Alligator mississippiensis: one gene and its partner. Each later gene encodes a partner of the first gene's protein in a complex. Links are inferred from orthologs where the notes say so. Each region holds a gene or a part of one and is shown in the gene's direction. Other genes may lie near its edges. The genes, in order: NCF2 and RAC2.

Region 1 (11,336 bases):
TGAGTCCAAGGGGTGGCTCCACCTGTCAGCTGGAGCCAGGCACCACTCAGCCCCAGCTCCCAGACAGCGTGCAGCACCCTGCTGAGCTGTGCTGCACCCATGCCATGGAGTAGCTGCTGCACAGGTACCAAGCGGGGGTAGGAGGAGCGATCCCCACTGCTCCCCTGCACTGCTTCACTCTGTGCAGGGGGGCTCTGCCATAAGCACCCAGAGGCCTCAATCAGTGCTGCTGCAGCCGGTGAGTGCAGGGCTTTTTTTTTTTAAGTGCCGAGACTAAGCTGGGGCCAGGTTGGGGATGGGGATGGGCAGGGCAGCCATGGGGGCTTCTCCTATGGCTCCCCCACCCAGGGAGAGGCAGGCATAGCTGGAGGAGCAGTGAGAGAACTGGCAGCCACCTGGCTGTGCCTGCCTCTCCCTTGCCAATCTGAATCATCATATCTCTCCCAATCTTCCAAAGCTGATTCAGCCAAATCAATTCAGGACAGTGATCCAAAAAAAAAAAAAAAAATCGCTGTTCTCTGAATTGGCCGAATCTGAATCAAACACTTCCCTATTCACACAGTCCTACTGTCCACTCCAGTAAGTGATACAATTTGCACCATCAACCACAGGAAATATAACTCATGGACATACATTGATTGGTTACACCCCCCAAAAAAGCCTCTCTACTAGGAGAGTGGTTAGACACTGATGGATCTTTATGGCTGTCCATTTCCTACACACACCATTTTTCCATAAGCCTACTCTGCTTTCCCCATCTAGGGATAAATACAAGGGCTCACCTTTCAGTAGCAATAAGTCTGTCCATCTGAATTATCTACATTTTACTGTAATAGGTGTCATTTAGATACTCTCCCCTTTTGAACTGATACTGTATAAATCAAGCTACCACCCAATTGGAGACATTGTATTTTAGAAACAAAAAAAATCTGTTTGAAGCATTGCTTGCCATTTGAAGAAAGGTTATTATTTGTATTTATCCTAACACATCAGCACCTATAGCCTCCAGCTAAGATTGTGCGCTAGGAAGAAACTGTGGCTGCCCCTATAAGAGTTTGCCAACTAAATAAGACAGAAAGTGGGAAACTGAGGCACCATGAGATGAAGTGATTTGCCCAAGGCTGCATGGAAGGTGCTGAGCTAGGAATTGAACTCCTGTTTCCCAAGCTCCATGCCAATATCCTTGGCATATTAGCATCTAAAGTAAAATCTTTAGTAAAGGAACTATATATTTAAAGCCATGAGGCTGAAGGAAATGGAAAGCAAAAGCTGATTTCTTGCCTCTCCACTTCTACCTCCATTTAAAAGGAGAAATATCCTTGGGTTTTAACATGCCTCTTAGTCAAAAAAAAGAACAAAAGTCTCCACAGAGGAGTTTCATACTTATATGCTGTGTCTTCCTGTCCTTTTTCTTCATATTACTTAAGCTCCTTGCAGATTTCCCTTTTCTTTTCCTGGGGCCAAAGAAGCTTGCAGCCTATGTTCTCCTCTACGTTGCTGCATGTTGCCACAGTAATCCCACAGGAGTGAGTTGGGACAGAATAGATATAAACAGGTCTCTCAGCTCCTAACCTGAGATCCAAAAGGAAAATTAGAGGTTAAGACATACAGTACTGGATTCTAAGTTAAAAATGAGTCATTGTTTCTCAGGAGTCCGTGTTGGCTTGGGAGCTGAGCCATAGAGGTAGAGGTACAGTGGTTTGCCTGCAGGACATAACAGTGATGGGAACAGAAGGCAGGTGGCTTAACTCCCAAGCTAGTCATGTAGTCAGCGGCCCAAGTAGGTCATTTTAGTGCAGGTGAAATGGGCTGAATTCACAGCCCCTGAAGACCAAAGCCCTCTGCCACTTTACTGTGAAACGTCTACAAGAAGCTGCAAAGACGTGATAGAGAAGAATTATTATTCTTCCCAAGGCACAAAGTGGGCGTTGACAGGCCAAGTGGGGCTGTGCACATACCCATGGCGGGCTTTAAACTAGCTTCACTGGGGAAGGGGCCACTCCGTGTGGAGAGGATGCTTCATCAGCATGCAGGGTGACAAGAGAAAGGGATGCCCAAGTAAGCAACAACGTCCTGGAAATAGGGGGCCACAACAGCCCTGGAAGTAGGGGGGAGGCACGTGCACCCTCAGGAGGCCTCAAGTGCCTCTACACCAATGCTCGTAGTATGGGAAGCAAGCAGGAGGAACTTGTGCCTCCTGATTGCAAGTAAGAATCCAGACTTAGTAGGGCTCACAGAAACCCACGATTGGGTGGTGGGCATTTGGGGATACACCCTATATAGAAGGGACAGGACAGAGAGGAAAGGTTGGGGGGGAGGGGGGGTTGAACTCTATGTCAAAGAGCAACTCGCATCCTCAAGGATTAGCTTCCGGTTAGAGGAGGGTTGTGCGGAGACACTGTGGGTCAAACTACAAGGGGGGCGTGGCAAAAGGGACCTTAGGGTGGGTGTCTACTACAGACCACCCAACCAGGGGGAAGAGCTGGACCAGGACTTCTCCAGTCAGCTTATGGAGGCAGTTAGGTCAAGGGATGTCACTATCATGGGTGACCTAAACTACCCAGACATTTGCTGGGACGAGCAGACAGCCAGGTCTGACTGCTCACATAGGTTCCTGGCTGTATTACAAGACCTTCACCTTATCCAGGAGGTGCACAGCCCCACTAGAGATAATGCCTTCCTGGACCTGGTCCTGGTCACTGGGGATGACCTGGTGAGGGGATTGCAGGTCCTTGATCACCTGGGCAATAGTGATCATCACCTGCTGGAATTCACTATCCAGCACAGGGTGTCAAGGACTTATAGCAAGACTAAAGTCCTTGACTTCAGAAGGGCCAACTTCAATGAGCTTCAGAGATTAGTGGGGGAGGCACTGAGGGCCCAGAAGGTAGAGGAGATGGGAGTCCGTGAGGGATGGTTGTACCTTAAGGGGGCGATCCTCCAGGCCCAAAGGGTAACAGTCCCTCAGAGAAGCAAGGGGGGTAAGAGTGCTCAGAAACCCCCATCAGCTAGATGATCTGTTCAGGTCCCTCCTGACCCTAGCTACTATGAAACTATGAAGCTTCCCTTACTCTGGGGTGATCCTTTTCCCAGCTAAGGCTCAGACAGATAGCTTTTACCTCAAGGAGCTGGCTGAAGTCAGCCAAGTCTATTCCTTCGGGTTGACCTCAATTAGCTTTTAAGGTAAAAACATGCCAACCTCACTCCAAGATTAATTAAACCTGATTCTGTCCCCAGGACCAGAGTTACACTGGGAGGAAAGCCCGCCTAGGTTGTATGGCCTATTCAGAGTTTGACCTCTCTGCTAAGGCAGATTATCAGCATGTAAAGCTTAGCAGTCACATTATGAAACAAACACCTCTTTATTAGGCAGTAGCAAAAGCTAGGTCATACTCTATAGGCTTACAGTCATAAGAGAGTAGTGACTTTTGTTATGACCTGCTTGAACCAGATACAAACCAGCCAGCTGGCAGTAAAAAAGCCTAGAGACCTGATCCCAATTCCATGAGCCACTGGGGAAGTCCCCATGGCTGAGAGCACACCTGACAATGTATTCAGCTCTTTAACTTGCAGCACTCTTGGGAATATCTTCATACCTTCAGCTAATTTGCTAATAAGAGATGCAATCATTCTTATGAGGTTAAGCAACCAGTTACATCAAGGAAGTCCCTTAACTGATTAAAACACATTTTGTTTCTTCATCTTAGCCAGGACCAGACCATGCAATGAGGCAATCAGATAAGAACGTCTGAGGAGGTGAGAAAGATGAAAAACGACACTGCATTAGGTCTGCAGATCGCACTGAAGGGTAGATACCCATGAGGAGCTAGCAAAAACCAGATGTAATCATTCCTGATATGGGCCACAGTGTTGCTGAAGTGCTGAGGCACACAAAACATTGTAACCTCCTGATTAATATCCTGGTTATAGTTCAACTCAGTCAGCTTTATTACAAGCCTTAGCCATGTTTTAATGTTGCTCAAGGATTTATACATGGGAAGAAAACTGCCTCAGGTTGAACATACCCATTGAGAAGACACCAGTCCATCTTCCCCATGCCAAGGGGACTTGAAGACATTTCTGGAGGAGGAAGCCATTGTAAGCAGTTGAAGGTGTTACAACACCCTTGTCTATGTGACCAAGGTACACACTCAGCAGCATTTTACGGTTATTTCAAGGGTATTTTTGGTTTACCCCTGCCTGAGCCTGCTAAAAGAGCTTAATGTACTCCACCTTCTTCTTACCCTTGGAGGACAGTGAAGATGATGCTACCAGCTGGGCTGCTGGCAACTGTTGGCCCTAGCTGCAGTGTCCCCTTGTATATAGTAAAAACTTTTTAACTTTATAGGTCCATTGCCTACTTTAGACATGTGAGCATACAGTCAGCCTCTATTATATACTCAGTAATGCCAACTGTTTCAAAACCATGGTGAGACTCAGGCTTTCAAAGTCAAAATAACTGTGATTCATGATCTTTGGATCCAACCCTCAGATCTCTGGATTTTCCCAGCTGGTAAGTGGAGGGAAAGAGGTAGGGAGGGGGAGAGTAGGGCAGAGGTGGGGTGCCCACTGTGGACAGGGCCTCTGTGCCCTGCTGCCTTGCCCCAGGAGCTCAGCCGCACATCCAGTGTGCCTCCTGCCACTGGGTGGGCAGGGGATGTGCCAGCGCACCCCACATCCCCTGCCCGCCCAGCAGGCAGCAATGGCATCACACAGCTGAGCTCTTGGGGTGAGGCACCAGGGTGCAGAGCCTCAGCCCGCAGAGGGCAGTCCACCTCTCCCCCTTGGGGGGGGGGCACATGCCCCCATGCCTCCCTCAGTGGTGTTCGCTGCTGTGGGAAGCAGTGTCCCTCCCCTGCACCTCTGGATGACCTGCCCCAGCACTGGGGCCCCATTCACCCCTGCCCCACTCCCTCCATCACCATGGGGGCCTCAATCTGCCCCACTCCCAGCCCTTCCCTCTACTTATCAGCTGGGTGCTGTCTGTGTGTCTATCAGTGTCTCTGTGTGTCTGTATCTTTGTCTGTCTGCTCCTCACTCCCAAGCCACAGCCCACCTAGCCCTGCTGCTGCTTCTCACTCTTGACCCACAGTACCTCGCATCCTGCCAGGGTGTGCGGGGACCCTCCCTCCCTGGGCTCCAAACCCCCCCCCACACACACACCCACAGCCCCCAACACCTTCACAAATAACACCCCTTACACGCACACTTCAAAACTAGCATCTCATGATTTACGTGCCAATCTCTTGATTTTTTAAGAGTTCGTCTCATGATTTTTGGCATGGTGGGGCTGGCAATACTGTATAATACAGTTTTGGTGGGAAAATGTTGCCAATGTGTGGTATGGTATTCTATACCTCAGGTAGGGTCAGCAGTATGGTTGCATGAGATTGGCAGCCTTCCTTCCTGAATGATTGGATGAGTGGCAGATTGACATGAGTGGTGTGACTGAGAGAGTTAAATAGGCTGAGAAGCTGCATCTACGGGCACACACGTGAGTTTGCGTGTGCATTGGTGGGTGTCTGTGCATCTGTGGAGTGCAAGTTGTGTTGTGCTTGGTGCACCTGGGCCTGGTCTGGTTTACTTGCTGTTGCTGCTGTTGAGAATTGTTGTAAGTTGTGTTGTATGTGGTTAAGTGAGATAGGCGTTGTCTGAAGTGCAGTCCCTAGCTGTGACCCTTCAAAATGTTGTTTCTTCCCCCAACTTGTGTATATAGTCCTGTAATTGCCATTGTGTATAATTGTATTAATCACTTTTCATACGTACCTGTTGTTTTGGTATCTTCTCTGAGTCTGTTTAATATAGTCGGGCTGTTGAATGGTTCATGAGAGTCTGTGATTTTTCTTGGTGGGAGCTTATTAATATTTAGCTACCTGGAGCTGGGCTGAAGGCTAATGGTTAGCATTGGGACAGACCCCTCCAATCAAAGAGAGCATTTGCATAATTAGCCTAATTGAGTTCTCGCTCTCAACAGAGGTTTTGGGGAATTCCCATCAGCAACCAGCCTGCAGCTAGGTGCTGCCTTTGGAAGTTAAGAGCGTGCGCGCTTCCTTTAAAAGGAACACGGCTGCAGGAACATGGCAGGACCTTCTTTCTTCATGCCCCAGTTCCTCTATGCCACATCACTGATGAACTCTGACTCAACTGTGACTACACTGACAGCAGTGCGATGCCAAACATAAGCCTCAAATTATAGATCCCATGAGGCAAAAAAAAAAACCGAAAGAGGCGAATAGCCGTGGGTGGAGGAGGAGGATTTATAATAACACAGCAAGGGGCTGCTCGGATTCACGTCAGCCAGCATTTGCTGTACTTCCCCATCTCAGCAGGGCTGTTTTTCATTGGCAAGTGTAGACACTTCCTGATAAGTTTGCGACATTGAACACTGTGTGGGTGCTGGAGGGAATACAGAAGTACAAGTAGAAGTGCACTGGCCGAGCTGCAGTGCAGAGGAAAGAGGGCCCAGAGTAAGGAAAAGCCACTCCAAGTTGTGGGGAGACCTGCCATCGCACTACCAGATACCCCACTGAAGGCTCCTGAGGAACCATGTCTCTGGCTGAGACGATCCAGCTATGGCATGACGGGGTACGTGCTGCCGATCAGAAGGACTGGAGAGCAGCGCTGGAGGCCTTCACTTCAGTTCAGAACCCCTCCTCCAAACTCTGCTTTAACATTGGCTCCATCCATCTGATCCTGGGGAACTTGGCTGAGGCAGAGCAGGTGAGTAAGAGCATCTCGATTCCTCCTGCCCCTGCCTCTTCTACATTCAAATCCGACTTAGCGGCACACCCAGCCCTGCCAGATAGACTGAAGGGCCCACTGACAAGTGAGAGGACTGACAGAAGTAGACTGATGATGAAATGACTGACAGCCTGACTCGCAGGTCAGACACATCTGTGCCTGACAGGCTGAAGGGCACTCGGCACAAACCTGTCAGGTAGCTGGCAAGCTGGCCTGGCTGGGTGCAAGGGGAAGAACTCCTCCGTGCTGCAGCTCAGCCACTGCTCAGCCAACCAGATGATGCCACATGGAGTATTTGCCAACCTGGCGGTTCACACCAACAGGCAGCCACATAGTGACTAATGGTCTATTAGGGAGGATGGCCCAGCAATTGATAGACCTGTCCTGAGCAGGATGAAGAGACAGTTACAGCACAATAGGTCACATACTTCATTTAATTCTTGCTGCTCAGTGCTGGGCGGGGGAAGTGGGGGGGTATTTAATTTATGGGCCTCTGGCCAGGTGAAACACAAGAGCCAAAGCTGAAGGGTGGAAAGAGGAGGTACAATCCTTTTCCTTCTCTCCACATTTCCCTTTCCATTTCATCCTTCATTTCATCCCTTCTCCTGAGATGCTGGTTTCATGCCTCCTACCAGTCAAAGGCAAGCACCGCACATGCCAGGTTCTGTTCCACTCTCCCCTCTACCGCAGCACTAGCCGCAGCTGCAGCTGCTGCCTTCTCCCCATCCCTATACTCCGTATCCAGGTCTCCCTTTGCAACTTCTCTCTGGGGAATAGGTTTCATGTATGAATCATCTCCTATCCCCTGCAGGCATTTGCCAGGAGTATTAACTGTGACAAGCACTTGGCTGTGGCCTATTTCCAGAGAGGAACAGTATTTTACAAGAGAGAAAAGTAAGTATTGGAAACTCCCTAATGGAAGTGAGGTGGGTGGGTGTGTAAAAGTCAAACTTTGTTTCCCTGACTGGCAGAGAAGCCTTTTGACAAGTCAGTCATGCTGGAATGCTGCAGAGGTAACTGGAGCCAGAACGCACCTAACAAGGTAAATACTATCTCATGCTTAGCAGTGGTCCCAACCTACGGATGAAGACTATTCTTGGGAGCCTCGGAAATTTCCCAGTGTGTGTTTAAAAGCAATGAGAGGATTAGCTAAATCCTATATAAGAAACCTTTACAAAAGGGAGTGTACACAGCACCTAATGTGATGGGGCACAACCAGAATATAAATGATACACAATAATATTAACACTGGTCACAGCTTTGGGTCTAAAGCAGATGCAGGTAACAGACTCAAAAGCCTTGAGACTGGCAAGCACAATTGGCCAATGAAGAGTCAGAACACAATTGCCTAGATCTGGACAGCCTCTTTTCTCCCAAGAATGACTCAGGATGAAGGGCTTGGGCTGTGGTAAAAGGCTACTGGCATGTCATTAGCTGGCCAAGTGACTCAGGATGAGAACAAGACTGCATTCTTGAAAGGCACCAGGCAGCCCAGCCAGCAAAAGGCCCTGCCCTTTTCTTGGTGGACCCTGACAGATTATTAACTTTGCTTTACAGCTATGATTCAGCAGTCGAAGACTTTAAAGAAGCACTGGCTCAGCTGCGAGGGAACCTGCTGATAGACTATAAGATCCTGGGGCTGCAGTTCAGGCTGTTTGCTTGTGAGGTAAGGAGCATACGGGAAATGTGACACTGAAACAAGCAAGGCTATCCATGAAGCAGAACAAGTTAAGTGGTGAAGATATATTGCAATCCAATGCCACACAGCCAGTGGGTGTAACTCAGACATGAGGCCTCCATATAGGAAGAGAAAAAGGTGGGAGGTGATACATCAAATATAACGCAACACATATTTCTCCAGTTAAAAAGAAACTAGAGACTTTACTAATATGCTAAGGGCCTAAGGGCTATATTATTCCATTTAAGATCAAAGCAAAACCAAATATAACTTAACTGCAACATGCATTAATTTGCTATATATCATGTACTTTGTATAAAAAAAACAACACAACAAACTTGGCCAAAATAATCCAAAGATATTGTTGCATTAGTCCTGCAACATTAGCTATTAGAATAAAATGTATATTTTTTCAGATTCATAAAACAAAATCTAGCCTTCTTGAGAATCCTGATAATGCATCCAGTACTTCACTGAAAGTTGCTTATACAGCTGAATAAACGTTCACCCGAGTTAACATTTCTACAGCTGAGTTAGTGTTTTTAGATAGAGTTAAAAACAGCTAACAGACAGTAGAACTACAGAAGAAAGGGTAGCTTGATTAGTGGAACATCGAGACTTAAAAAGGAGAAACAGGCAGAATCAAGACTATAGAAGGAATCAGGCAGTTTACAAGGAGCCATGAAGTCAGTTGACTCCCTCATTGCTACTGCACCTGCCAGGCAGTTGGCTTTAAAATTTGGGTGGGCCAGGAATCAAGGAGTGGGTGCACCACTGCACCCTGACCTCATATATGAGTGACAAGCCAACATTCAGCCTTCAGAGCTCGCATGGAAGAAATTAGAGGCTGGTCCCTAGGACTAGTAACTTTAGAGCTAATTAATTAGCTGGTGTTTCTTTGTACCCAAACCCAATAAGAAGGAAAGTGAGTTGATAGCAAGCATGACAGATTTCATGTCCTCACAAAAAAGCAAGTGATTGATTTATGAGAGGAGGCAAGCAGAGACTAGGAATCTTTGGAACGGGAAGCTAGTCCTGCCTAGCTTCCCCTCACCCTGTATTAACAAACATCACCTCATTGCCTCCAGGTGGAGCTTTCTAGAAGATTTCTCTAGGAAAATAAGACTCAACAAAGCCCTTGGAGTATCTTCAAACAGCAGGTAGCACTGGCAGCACATGGGGCTCTCTCGGCTCTGAGTTCTCTACTGCTTTTAGGGACAGTAGCTTAAGGCACTCCTCATTAGAGGCTGGTTCACTTGAGAACCTCCATTCATTGAGCCTTTGTTTTTCTTAACAAATTTCCTTTTTGCAGGTGTTATACAACATAGCTCTGGTCTATGCCAAACTGGAGGACTGGAAAAAAGCAGAAGAGCACCTCATCTTGGCAACGAGCTTGAAGAGCGAGCCTCGACACAACAAGATTGATAAGGCTATGCAAGCCATTTTGGTAAAGAATAATTTCTCCACGTGTTGATTCCTTCCTGGGCTGCCACTAAGGTGGCCATTAGTCCAGTTTTATAGAGGACAGTCCAGTTTTCTGGTCCTTTGTCCTCTATTGATATGAAACTGGACGCCTTTATGTCCTCTATTTTTCACCACCCAGCACCCTCCCCTCCCCCGAGCCACTGACACCACTGCGGCCACATGCGGGAGCTCCCTGCTCGGCCTGCCCCCACCGCTGACACTACTGTGGCTGCCTGTGGGAGCTCCTCGCTCAACGCCACTATGCCCCTGCTGCCAACACTGCGACTACTGCCTGCGGGAGCTTGCTACGCCCCCCCACCCCCAGCCTCGGGAGGCATGCAACATTCATGGTGGTGGGGACAGTTGCACTAAATTCAACTCTCCTCTATCCTTGAGGTACCTCGATGGCCATCTTGGCTGCCACTGAAAAAGCCAGGGGCTTATAGGGATAAAAGAGACTGAAGTCTATAAAGAAGGGGAACTATCCTGTATCAGAAGCTTTACAAAAACAGCCAAGAGCTGTGGCTTGATATACGAACATGGGTTTTGCAGCATATGGGGAAAATGTGAATGAAGGGTTTTTGGGAGGGCTAGGACTGAAGCTGTGTAGCACATGGGCCAAATTCACCCAGAGGGAGCTACATGCAGAGCTAGAAGGTGGGCAATGCTGGAAGTGTCTGTACTTTCAACATGTCCCTATGATTTCTGTATGCTACAGAAGCAAAATGTATTTGAGCCAGTGGTGATCCCCCTGGGGAAGCTGTTTAGGCCAAATGAGAAGCAAGTGGCTCAGCTGGAGAAGAAAGATTACCTGGGGAAAGCTACGGTAGGAAAAAGTTCACATACTGCTTTCAAGCCAAATATGAGAGGAGGACAATGGGGTGGTCTCTGCCCAGGAAATCATCACCGTTATTCATTTTGCATTGAGTGCTGAGAGCATGAGCAGGATACAGTGGCAGACACTTTTTGCCCCAAGAAGCTGAGGCAGATGTTGAGGGAGGAAACTGAGAGGTAAAACTCTGTGGCAGAATTTAGAAGCTGCATGCACCTGTTTGCAGGATGATTCCCCCTCCTACCCCTGATTCTCTCAGCCCTTAGCTGGACACAAGGAAATAGTCATTTAGCATTTCGCTGGAACTGATCCACCACAGCTGATTCAGAAATGCTTCTGGAAGCACATGCCAGTCAAATATGATGCATGCTTTTGGTTTGAGAATTTCCAAGTTTTCTTGATCAAACGCCCCTAAACAAACTCCACAAAGGCCATGCCACAGCTGAACTGGGACAGGGGTCAATACATTAATAATAAAAGAAGCATTTTCTTTTACTTGGTGAAAGCCAAATATTATGGTTCATGAGACAGAGAAAAATAGAAACAGAAAAACAAAGCAGCAGTGGCAGACGTGCAGAGTGGATCAGACAGGCATCACCCCAGCAGATCAAATATTCCAAG
Region 2 (10,267 bases), on another chromosome or scaffold:
GTCACGCAGAAGGCCAGGTGGGGTTGCACCTTATCGACTAATCGGTTCAGAGATGAACAAGTTTATGGAAGCAACACCTCACTTCATCAGATGCTGAATTAGTTAGTCTATAAGGTGCAACTCTGCCCTGCCTTCTACCAAAGAGGTAAATAGGTAAAAACTCTACGATCTTAAAGGAGGAAGAGAAGGGCACTGTGTCAGCCATATTGTTCAAGAAAGTCTCAGACAGGCCAATCACTACAGATTAAGACAGAAAAGCCCAAGGATATACAGCAAAGGGTTTATCACCTCCTGACTCCAATAGCAATAATATCTCAGGCACCTGAGAGACTAATGGAACACAAGTAACAGATTTATTTGCTTATAACCAACAGGCTGAAATTCTGTGTCATGTGAATATCCATTGTGCACTGTTTTGTTTGGCTGGGAAAGGATACTGGAAATTGCATCTCCCAGTGGCTTGGCTTCAAAGACGAGTGGCTGGGATGGGATCTGAAGAAATCCGTTGTTTTGTTGCACAGTTGCAGCTGGATCTGAGACCCAGAACTAAGCAGATCCCTGTTAACCGCCTGATCTCAGAGTGATTACTGAACAATGCAGTCAGACACCCTCTTCACTCATTAGTCATTCCCTAGTGACCTTACCTCGCCTTTCAATTTTGGCTTTGGAAATGACTATGCTTGTAGCTTAAAGACCACTGAGATCAAGAGAAGGAGTAGACGTCAAGAAAGAAAGAGGGACAGGAAGCCAAGTGGAGAGCCAAGGCAACAGGGAAGTAAGACACAAAAGGGGAATAGAGCTGGGGCTCCATTGCATTGGGCTGACCTTGTGCACAGGTCCTGCACATACAGTCAGGAAAACTTCCCCTCTCCCACCTCCCTCACTCCTACTGCCATTGGTGTGGGGTGGGAGAAGGCTGCATTCCTCTTCATGACGAAACTGCATTAAGGCACTAGGCACATCAAACTTTCTTCCCACGCAGAGAAAAGAGAGTTTCTGCTCTCTCCACCCTCATGGGCCTGTCCAGATGATCATAGATGTGCGGTATGTGGTGCAGCAACCCATCTACAGTGATGCACACTGCATTCACTGCATGTGCAGGCGTTCCTCGCTGTCGATGTTCACTGCACACACTGCATACCACACATGCAGGCATTCCCTGCACTGTTGATTTGCATGCTGCTGGACTGCCCCATGCTGCTGGACTGCCATGGCTGCAGCTCCTGGAGGCCCTCAGGGCCCCAGGTGCTGGCCCCAGCCTCCCTTACCCCACCCAAGGCAATGTACCACAGTCCAGTGCTTACATACACAGGTGTGTCCCAGGGACAAGCAGTAGTGCCACATATTGTGCTGCTGTATTGTTCCCTGGGAAACTGCAGTGATGAGAGATACCGTCCTCCCCCCACACCACCTGCCATTCAGAAAGTTGCTCTTTGCCTACCCCACTGCATGTCTAGGATGTCTGGGATTCCCCTATATTCCCTCCCAGAATATTCTCCTAATAGGATTTTGTACCTGGGCTGGGGGGGGGGGGGGTGGCACAGGGATGGCAAAGGGGAAACTGAGCAAGAAAGAGCAGGGCAGGGGCAACAGGTGGGTCAGGATAAAGTCTGAGGTGACAGGAGAGAGGAGCAATGAGGTCACTTGGTTTTCTCCCTTCCCTTAGATTCAGGCAGGGGAAACCTTACATCTCACACCTGCCTCTTCCATTATTTGCCCCCATGCCCATCTATTGGGTTCTGCACTAATCCCACCTCCCATGGGTCATACAGATGGCCAGGCATAGCCTCTGGCAGTCTCTCACTGTAGAACTACCCCACAGACCAATTCCTCTTCCTCTTCCCACCAACTTCTTCCTCAAATGCTGGCAGACAAATAAGAAGTGCTGAAAGCCTGCCTCTCCTTTTCCTTCTCAGATACACAGAAGGAAACCCCTAATCAAGAGTACCCCTTAGTGGCAGGAGAGCAAAGCACAGAGACTAACAGCTTGTTGAGAATGCAGCTGTCAAGTAATTCCAGGACATGAATCTCTGTTTTGCCATGTAGACCCCAAAGCTCTGGGTACCTGTACTGCTCAGTAAATACTGGCATTTTCTAACTTCAGAGACTTGACTTGTGCCATCTTACTTATTTAGGAGAGGTTGTTTAGATGCAATTTCCGAATACTTTAAAGCCAACACATTGCTGCATGGAGGAAGGGGTGGGCAAGGGGGCAGAAATTTCATTGTGTCTTGCCCCACTGGAACTCTATCAGTGAAACTGAGACCTATCAATCCACAGTGCAGGTCTCTGTGCCAAGGGGCAATAAAGTAAATGGTAGCAGCAGCAAGCTATTATCTTCTTTCCTGATTTGCCACAAGATGGGGAGGGAGTGATTTTTATGGGTGCTGGCTATGAGCAGAGGCATCTTGAGATGCAAGACTAAAGGATTCAGGTCAGGTTTTATAGGCAAGAGGGGACTGATGCTTGTATCAGTGGTTCTCAAACTTTTTAGCTTCAAGACACTCCTCCATAACTATTCCAAATTTCACAGCACCCCTTTTGAGAGTCACTGAGCTAGAATTTACATTCAGAACAGTTATGGAGGAAGCTTTGAGGCTAAGAAAGTTGAAAACCAGTGTCTAGCTAGTGTCAGATAAAGGCAGGACATCGCCCCACCATGCCTCACTTTTTCCAACTTCTTTTTACCCCCAGTGTGTACCTGTATTTTCAGAGAACACATTTTCATTGGACAATGCCTGTTTGCTGAATCTGAAACAGTCTATGGGAATGTTTCCATTTCAGAAGAACACACAGCAGCCGCATCTATCCAGTTGGGAACATGAGAGCAGGAGCTCCATACCCGACAGGTTCCTGCCTGGTGGGCTACCAAGGGGCAGGGAATCTGGAAGCTTTGGGGGCCTTAGATGCCAGGACTCCTGGGTCTTGCAGATTTCCGGCCCTCAGCAAGTGGGACGTGAGTGGTCAGCCCTAAGGTTTAGGATCTTGACCTGGGAGTAGAGATGGGATACAAGCCAGGGTCGTGAGTTGAGGACTGTAGTCAGGAACAAGGCAAGGGAAGAAGCCAGGGATAGACATAATCAGCAAGAAAAGGGCCAAGAATCAAGGCACAAAGTGCTAGGATCAGAGCAGCCTACAAGTTCACCAAAAGACCCCTACTATCTGCCCTGCTGGTTTCAAGGCTGTTTGAGAGCAGGGTCTGCTTCCTACAAGCACTACAGCCAATGGCTGGCAGTCAGAGGGATGATTCATCCTCTGCTGGGACTTATGGCACCTGGGACTTCCAGGTGGTTTCCCATCCAAGTGCTAGCCAAGCCCAGGACTGGTTAGCTTCCAAGATCAAATGAAATCAGGTGCATTCAGTCCAGTATGGCCATATCCAGCTGGAGCAGTGACTCATCACACCTGGCTCCTCAGCAGCTCACCTGGGCTGTCATGGGCTCTCTACCTCCTTGGGAGCACAGGAACATATTTTATTTCAGACACTCCTGTTGTGAGGATCTCTTGGTGTCTCCAAAATGAGACACTGCAGACTTCCAGGTCCACAAAGAATGTGGGTTGAGTTTTGAATTTAGAGCCTGATTCAGGATGATTTTTTTTCCAACCACTCAAGAGTTTTCATGGACCTTAAAGTCTGCCTCCATGCCAGCATTATTCCTGCCCCTTCTATGCCCTGTCTCCTGTCCCACTTTGCCCCTGCACCTGTCTTTCCTTCCCAGCTCCTCCACACATTTCTCCTCTCAGACACCCTGCTCAGTCCTTTCTGTTAGAGGAGAGCTGGACAGAAGTCTTTTTAGGTTGTCCTGTAGTCGTAGCAGACAATTAATATACACCTTTTATTTAAGATAAACTGTGATTCTATATATTGTGATAAGGGCTTTTTTCAGAAGAGAGAGGGAGCCAGCTATGGGTCTTGGGAGTGGGGCAGGTGAATTGGTATATAGGGCCTTGTTACACCTTATGTTGTGAGCTGTACAAATGGTGATTGGTGTTAGTGCTAGCTTGGAGTTTCAAGCAGTCACACCCATAGTCTAGAAACCTTCTCTAACTGTTCCCTGCCTGCACAGCTGTGACTTGCCATGAGACCTGGTGAGCAGGGGCAGGGTTAGGATCTGTAACTATGAGTTGCCACTTTGTGGCTGATGAGCCAGGACAGGCTTCCATCCCTGCTGTTTGTGTGGGGGTGTGAAAGATCCTGGGATAATGGAGGACTTCAACTTGGGTGGCACATTTGTGAGGAGAGGGCGAACCTTATGGAACAGGAGCTGGGTAGTGCAGATCAGAGATAACCCTGACCTGGAGCGGCATAACTTTAAGCCACGTGACGAGTGCTTAAACCACTTTAAGGTGTAACATACAGACAGTCCAGAGGTTAAGCACTCCGGGAGCCACCCAAAATTATGGTGAAACAAGGTCCTTAAATATTACGGTGATGGGTGTAAACCCTCTTTAGAGCAGAAAGGGGACTCCAGGCTGCGAGGTCTCTTCTCCCTTCTTTAGGTGCTTCTGGTGCTCCACCTACTGGTGAGTACATGGTCCTATAAACTGGCATAGCATCATATGAATATTAGCAAGGGAACAACCAACCGAGTAATGTTGGGTGCAATGATTTGCTTATGCCATGTAGTACTGATGCCAATCATAGTGAGAGAGAGGCTGCTGGGAGTCAGGGGGAGAATACCGCCACAGGTCCTGCATCCTACGCCAGCTCCTTCGTGGCAATTAACTGAATGAGAGGGAGGTAAAGAGAAATTCAGCAGCAACAGAGGGAACAATGTGGCTTTTCCTATTCTAGTAAAGTTCCTTGTTCAGCATCAGAGGAAAGCAGCTCCCTCTGCATTTGTCACCTGGCAGCAGAAAGGCTGGAAGGCCCAGAAAGTATTCTCTGCCAGGAGCCAGCCCCTCCCTTTGCTCCATTTCAGCTGGAAAATCTTCACTTCCTCATGAAGATGAAAAGAAGCCTTGGGAAGCTGGGGGGGAGGGAGGAGGAGCAAAGGGGAGAGAAGAAGCCATCTCTCAGCTTTTGGCACAATTTTTTATTTAACCCCTGAGTAAAAGTAGCATGGCGCCCCCCACTGCTCAAACCAGCAGGACAGGAAGCATAGAAAGAAAGCTGCTGTCATTTTCTGATGCAGTAGAAGCCAAACCTTATACTTGCATATGCTCCGCCTTTAGCTAACGGCTTGGGCTACAGAGTTGAGGAGGAGGGGACCTGTGGGCACATTGAGTAATGCTCCTTCTTCCTCTTCCTCTCCCTCCCAGCGACCTGCCTTTCACTTCAGCTCTAGGGTTGACATTTTATTTGCACCGACCATCCTTCCATTCTCCTTTGTGAGCATTACCTGTGCCTGACTTCCCCCACCCCAGGACCAGCCTTCCTCCACCAGTCCAGAGCCATGCAGGCCATCAAGTGTGTGGTGGTGGGAGATGGGTATGTACCTTTCTATTTTAGGGGCTGGGGGCGGGAAAGGGAAGGAGGTAGGTTGTTCTTGCTAAAACTTCCTATGAAGGGAGTCAGCCTGTGACGGAGGAGGTGTGTTAGGTGGGATAGGGGAAGGGCATTTTTGTACAGCTGCTGCAACAGGACCACAGAAAGCAGAGCTGTTTGCAGGGCTGGCAAATCTACCCTCAGTGAAAGAGGTGTCATCCCCATGATGCCTCCCTTGGGCACAGCTATCTACGGTGGACAGAGCCAGGTTCAAGAATAAATGAGGGGAATCATGGTTTCCCTATGACTGCTCCCCACAAAAGCCTTCAGTGCCGGGGCAGGAGGGAGAAACTGATACATGACAGTGGATGTGGAGAGTGCAGCTTGTCTTCCTCCATTTTTGCATTTGGGTCTCAGAGCCCACCGTGTCTCTATGTTGATTGCCTGGAGGAGTCTGTTAGATGAGGCTCCCCTGGACACAGAGAAAAGGACTTGCTTTTCCCCCCTTATCACGAAGATGAGGCTTCCAGCTGCCGACAGAATTAGAAGGCAACCTACCTCTGCCATATAAGTGCAGAGTAAACGTTACCCTGGCTGATGCACCCCATTGATGATGGCTCTGTGGCCCAGCCGAGGCCTCAACAGAGAGCTTCCCCAGGGTAACCCCCAAAATGGACTGAACACTTCTGCCCCATGAGACATGCAGCCAGAGGATAGGAGGAAACATGTGAGGTGGGTTTCAGGGTTTGGTGGTGTGAGAGTTAAGCTAGTTCTGAGTTGCAAGCCGGCAGCACTGTTATCTGGGGCAGCTATCGAGTAGCAGATGAAGAGACATTTGCAGAGGCCCAGCTCCCCGCAGTCACTTCCTCCTTCAAAACCAGCTCAAGGAGGAAGTTTATAAGCAAAATATCAAATTATAAAAAAAACACCTTGGGGGCTGAGGGAGGCAGAGAGGAGGAGCCAGAAATGCAGGGCAAAAACCCTGCAACCAAACAAAGGCTGGTATCTCTCCAGGAAGTGCTGTGAAGACCAGAACTTAAGTTACAGAGCCGTACCTGAAACTACGCACACAGGAAATACTCTATGACTAACCCCAGAGCCTCTTGCAGATCTCTGCTAGGCCCCACATGCACTGACCTCATGACCACCCCACGAGTAGTCCCCCATAACTCTCCTAGTGTTATAGTCCTTCCCCATGAGCTTACTAACCTCTCTTTCCAAATACAGCTTCACTAACTCCCTTGCCTTCCAACCCAGCAGCTCTCCCCTGAGACCTCTGCTGAGAGGGATGAAAGAACTTGGAGAATGATGACAGAATGGGAGAGAAGGATTGAGAAAAGGGAGACGGGAAAGGTGGCAGGGGATCCAAAAGAGGAGGAAATGTGTGCAAGACTCCAGAGAAATGTTGCACTTCCTTCTGAGCCTTCATGACCTAGCAACTGGGCTGTGAGACCATGACTCATGTTCCTTCTCATTTCCATCACTACCTTGCTCTGTACTTGCAAGGTGCAGTAGGCCAGGCTGGGGAGAAAACCTTGGGCATCAGACCTGCCAGGTGTACTGGCACCTCTGAAGCAGCACGTTGTGTGACAACCCTCACAGAAGTGGGTGGGTGGATGGAGGGAGCCAGCCAGGCTCTCACTTTTCTCACCATTATACCTGAGTGCCCATAATCCAACCCAGGTAGTGCCCTAAGAAACAGGTCACTATTGCTGTCACGATTTTTCTGATTGGAGAAAGGAGGCACGAGGGAGTTAATGGCAGAGGTAGAGAAGGCACTTAGTCTACTAGCTATGGGCTCATCCTTCCCTCATTGGAGCTAGCTCTGTTTCCTTTCTCCCTTTCCCCTCCCCACCCCAATCTCTCCCCACCCTCTTGTTTCCATCACCATCACCTCTCAGTGATCCACCACACAGCCCTTCCTCTTTCCCTTTTCCATTAGCCTTCCTTCCCCAAGCAGACAGGCTCACTTTCCTCTTTGGGCTTCCAAGAAGACAGCTTTCCTGATCCACTTCACAAGAGAACTGCTCTTCTGGTGTGGTACATTACCTGCCAAGGTGCAGCAGCTTTAAGCCCAGTTTATGGAAATGGGAGTCTCCTCCCTTGCTTGGTCTAAGGGCCTTATGGCTAAGGGCAAGTAAAACTCAGGGGCATTCGAACCCCAAGCCTCCAGGCTTGGGCCTGCAAGTAGGATGCCTGCCAAAGGTTTTCATAGATTCATAGATTCATAGATGTTAGGGTTGGAAGGGACCTCAATAGATCATCGAGTCCGACCCCCTGCATAGGCAGGAAAGAGTGCTGGGTCTAGATGACCCCAGCTAGATACTCATCTAACCTCCTCTTGAAGACCCCCAGGGTAGGGGAGAGCACCACCTCCCTTGGGAGCCCGTTCCAGACCTTGGCCACTCTAACTGTGAAGAAGTTCTTCCTAATGTCTAGTCTAAATCTGCTTTCTGCTAGCTTGTGGCCATTATTTCTTGTAACCCCTGGGGGCGCCTTGGTGAGTAAAGCCTCACCAATTCCCTTCTGTGCCCCCGTGATGAACTTATAGGCAGCCACAAGGTCGCCTCTCAACCTTCTCTTGTGGAGGCTGAAGAGGTCCAGGTGCCCTAGTCTTTCCTCATAGGGCTTGGCCTGCAAGCCCTTAACTATACGTGTGGCCCTTCTCTGGACCCTCTCCAGGTTATCCACATCCCTCTTGAAGTGTGGCGCCCAAAACTGCACGCAGTATTCCAACTGCGGTCTGACCAGTGCCCGATAGAGGGGAAGTATCACCTCCTTGGATCTATTTGTCATGCATCTGCTGATGCACGATAAAGTGCCATTAGCTTTTCTGATGACTTTGTCACACTGCCGACTCATGTTCATCTTGGAGTCCACTAGGACTTCCGTGCCACCCAGCAGGTCATTTCCTAGGCAGTAGGTATGCTGGACATTTTTCCTCCCTAGGTGCAGCACTTTGAATTTCTCCTTGTTGAATTGCATTCTGTTGTTTTCTGCCCATATGTCCAGCCTGTCTAGGTCTGCTTGTAGTCGTTCCCTGCCCTCCGGTGTGTCCACTTCTCCCCACAGTTTTGTGTCATCTGCAAACTTGGACAGAGTACACTTCACTCCCTCGTCCAAGTCGCTGATGAAGACATTGAAGAGTATCGGTCCAAGGACTGAGCCCTGCGGGACCCCACTGCCCACACCCTTCCAGGTCGATACTGACCCATCCATTACAACTCTCTGAGATATCATCTCTATTCCTGTGGACTATTGCAACAGCTAATTCATAGATTCATAGATGTTAGGGTCGGAAGGGACCTCAATAGATCATCGAGTCCGACCCCCTGCATAGGCAGGAAAGAGTGCTGGGTTTAGATGACCCCAGCTAGATGCCTAACCTCCTCTTGAAGACCCCCAGGGTATGGGAGAGCACCACCTCCCTTGGGAGCCCTTTCCAGACCTTGGCCACTCTAACTGTGAAGAAGTTCTTCCTAGTTCTTTCTCTTCCTTTGGAAACATCTGAAGCCCCAGGTGCGGGTGGAGGATGTTTGCCGGTAGTAGGGCCACTTATGGTTCTGGACTCTTGGATTTGGAATTAGTTTTGACTAATTTGGCCTTGGATACAAGTTAAATTTAAAAAAAAGCCTCTCTCCTGTCTACCAGTGCCTCTCTTGGAGGTGGACTGCTCTGCAGTTCTTGCCACCTGGTGCCCCACCCTGCTCCCCTGGAGGTGAGACCAGAGGGGAAGGCCCAGAAGCCCCAAGAGTGGCCCCTGATATGTGGGAGGAGGAGCTGAAGAGGGCACCTTGCCTGCTGCCTGTAGCCCCCTCAGAAATGACATTATAGCTGGCAGGAATGTGCAAGAAATGCCCAGGCAAGCCTTTGGTCTTCTGTGTGAGGTGCTCTCTCCTGGCTCTGGTTGTGCTGCTTCAGTAGAGCATTAGCAAGTGCCATCCTGTCAAAGATGCCACTGCTTGGATGAGGTATAAAATAGAGGTGTGGCAAGCACATAGCCATGTGTCTAGCCGGGGTAGCAGAACCAGAGCAGATTCAATCTGGGTGCTAGCACTGTTGCCCTGCATTCTCAGTGCTGTATGAGATGCTGTGTACTCTCCATCACAGCTTGCCTGAAACTGCTTAGTGCTGTGCCCTGATAAGCAGCAGTCCTCCTCTACCACAGACTGGCTGCCTTTCAGACCCTTGTCAGGTCTATAAAGATGTCCTGCAAACCAACAGACTAGAAGGCACTACAGTGATGAAACTGCATGCCTCTCTTTCCTCCTGTTTCCAACCTGGAACAGAGCTCAGGTCTGTGAGTCTGAATTTTCTTCCTTCTCTGCCAACCCTCCTGATCTGGCTGGCTCTTGGGCAAGGGGAGGAATCATGCTCCCCAGGAAGTCACAGTAACATGTCCTGTGTGTGCTTTCTTTCTCTTCCAGAGCTGTGGGCAAGACCTGTCTCCTCATCAGCTACACCACCAATGCCTTTCCTGGAGAATACATCCCCACTGTGTGAGTATCCTGAAGCCAGGGGCCAGGGGATTGTGCTGGGGAGAGGGCAGGCAGGATATTAAAGGGATGCAAGGTCACCTGAAGAGCCACCTGTCAGTCTTGGCTCCCCTTGCATCACCAAAAGGCTGCTTGTTTGGAGGGGAGGGGCCTGCCACCAGGCCAGCACAGGCTTCTAGATAGTCCCAACCTGTCACCTATGCAACAAACAAGGGGTTTAACCCATGAGATCCTGGGGACTCTTTTATACCCGCAAGCCTGGCTTAGAGGGACCACAAGCAGACCCAGGACACCCTCTAATGCAGTAAACCTCTATGCTAGGAGCACAGCCAGCTCTGTCTGC

Evidence for each region.
Region 2: NCF2 (region 1) and RAC2 share a complex: the UniProt entries of both Homo sapiens proteins name them as parts of the phagocyte NADPH oxidase complex. The link is inferred for Alligator mississippiensis from reciprocal best matches to the Homo sapiens genes NCF2 and RAC2.

Annotation. Positions count from the first base shown.
Region 1 is NC_081828.1:54,295,115-54,306,450, reverse strand, and holds the start of NCF2 (neutrophil cytosol factor 2), read left to right. Parts: upstream 1-6,360; 5' UTR 6,361-6,546; coding exon 6,547-6,720; intron 6,721-7,552; coding exon 7,553-7,635; intron 7,636-8,298; coding exon 8,299-8,407; intron 8,408-9,731; coding exon 9,732-9,866; intron 9,867-10,601; coding exon 10,602-10,709; intron 10,710-11,336. UniProt on the Homo sapiens protein: Subunit of the phagocyte NADPH oxidase complex that mediates the transfer of electrons from cytosolic NADPH to O2 to produce the superoxide anion (O2(-)).
Region 2 is NC_081827.1:100,469,919-100,480,185, forward strand, and holds the start of RAC2 (ras-related C3 botulinum toxin substrate 2), read left to right. Parts: upstream 1-5,202; 5' UTR 5,203-5,396; coding exon 5,397-5,431; intron 5,432-9,855; coding exon 9,856-9,927; intron 9,928-10,267. UniProt on the Homo sapiens protein: Plasma membrane-associated small GTPase which cycles between an active GTP-bound and inactive GDP-bound state.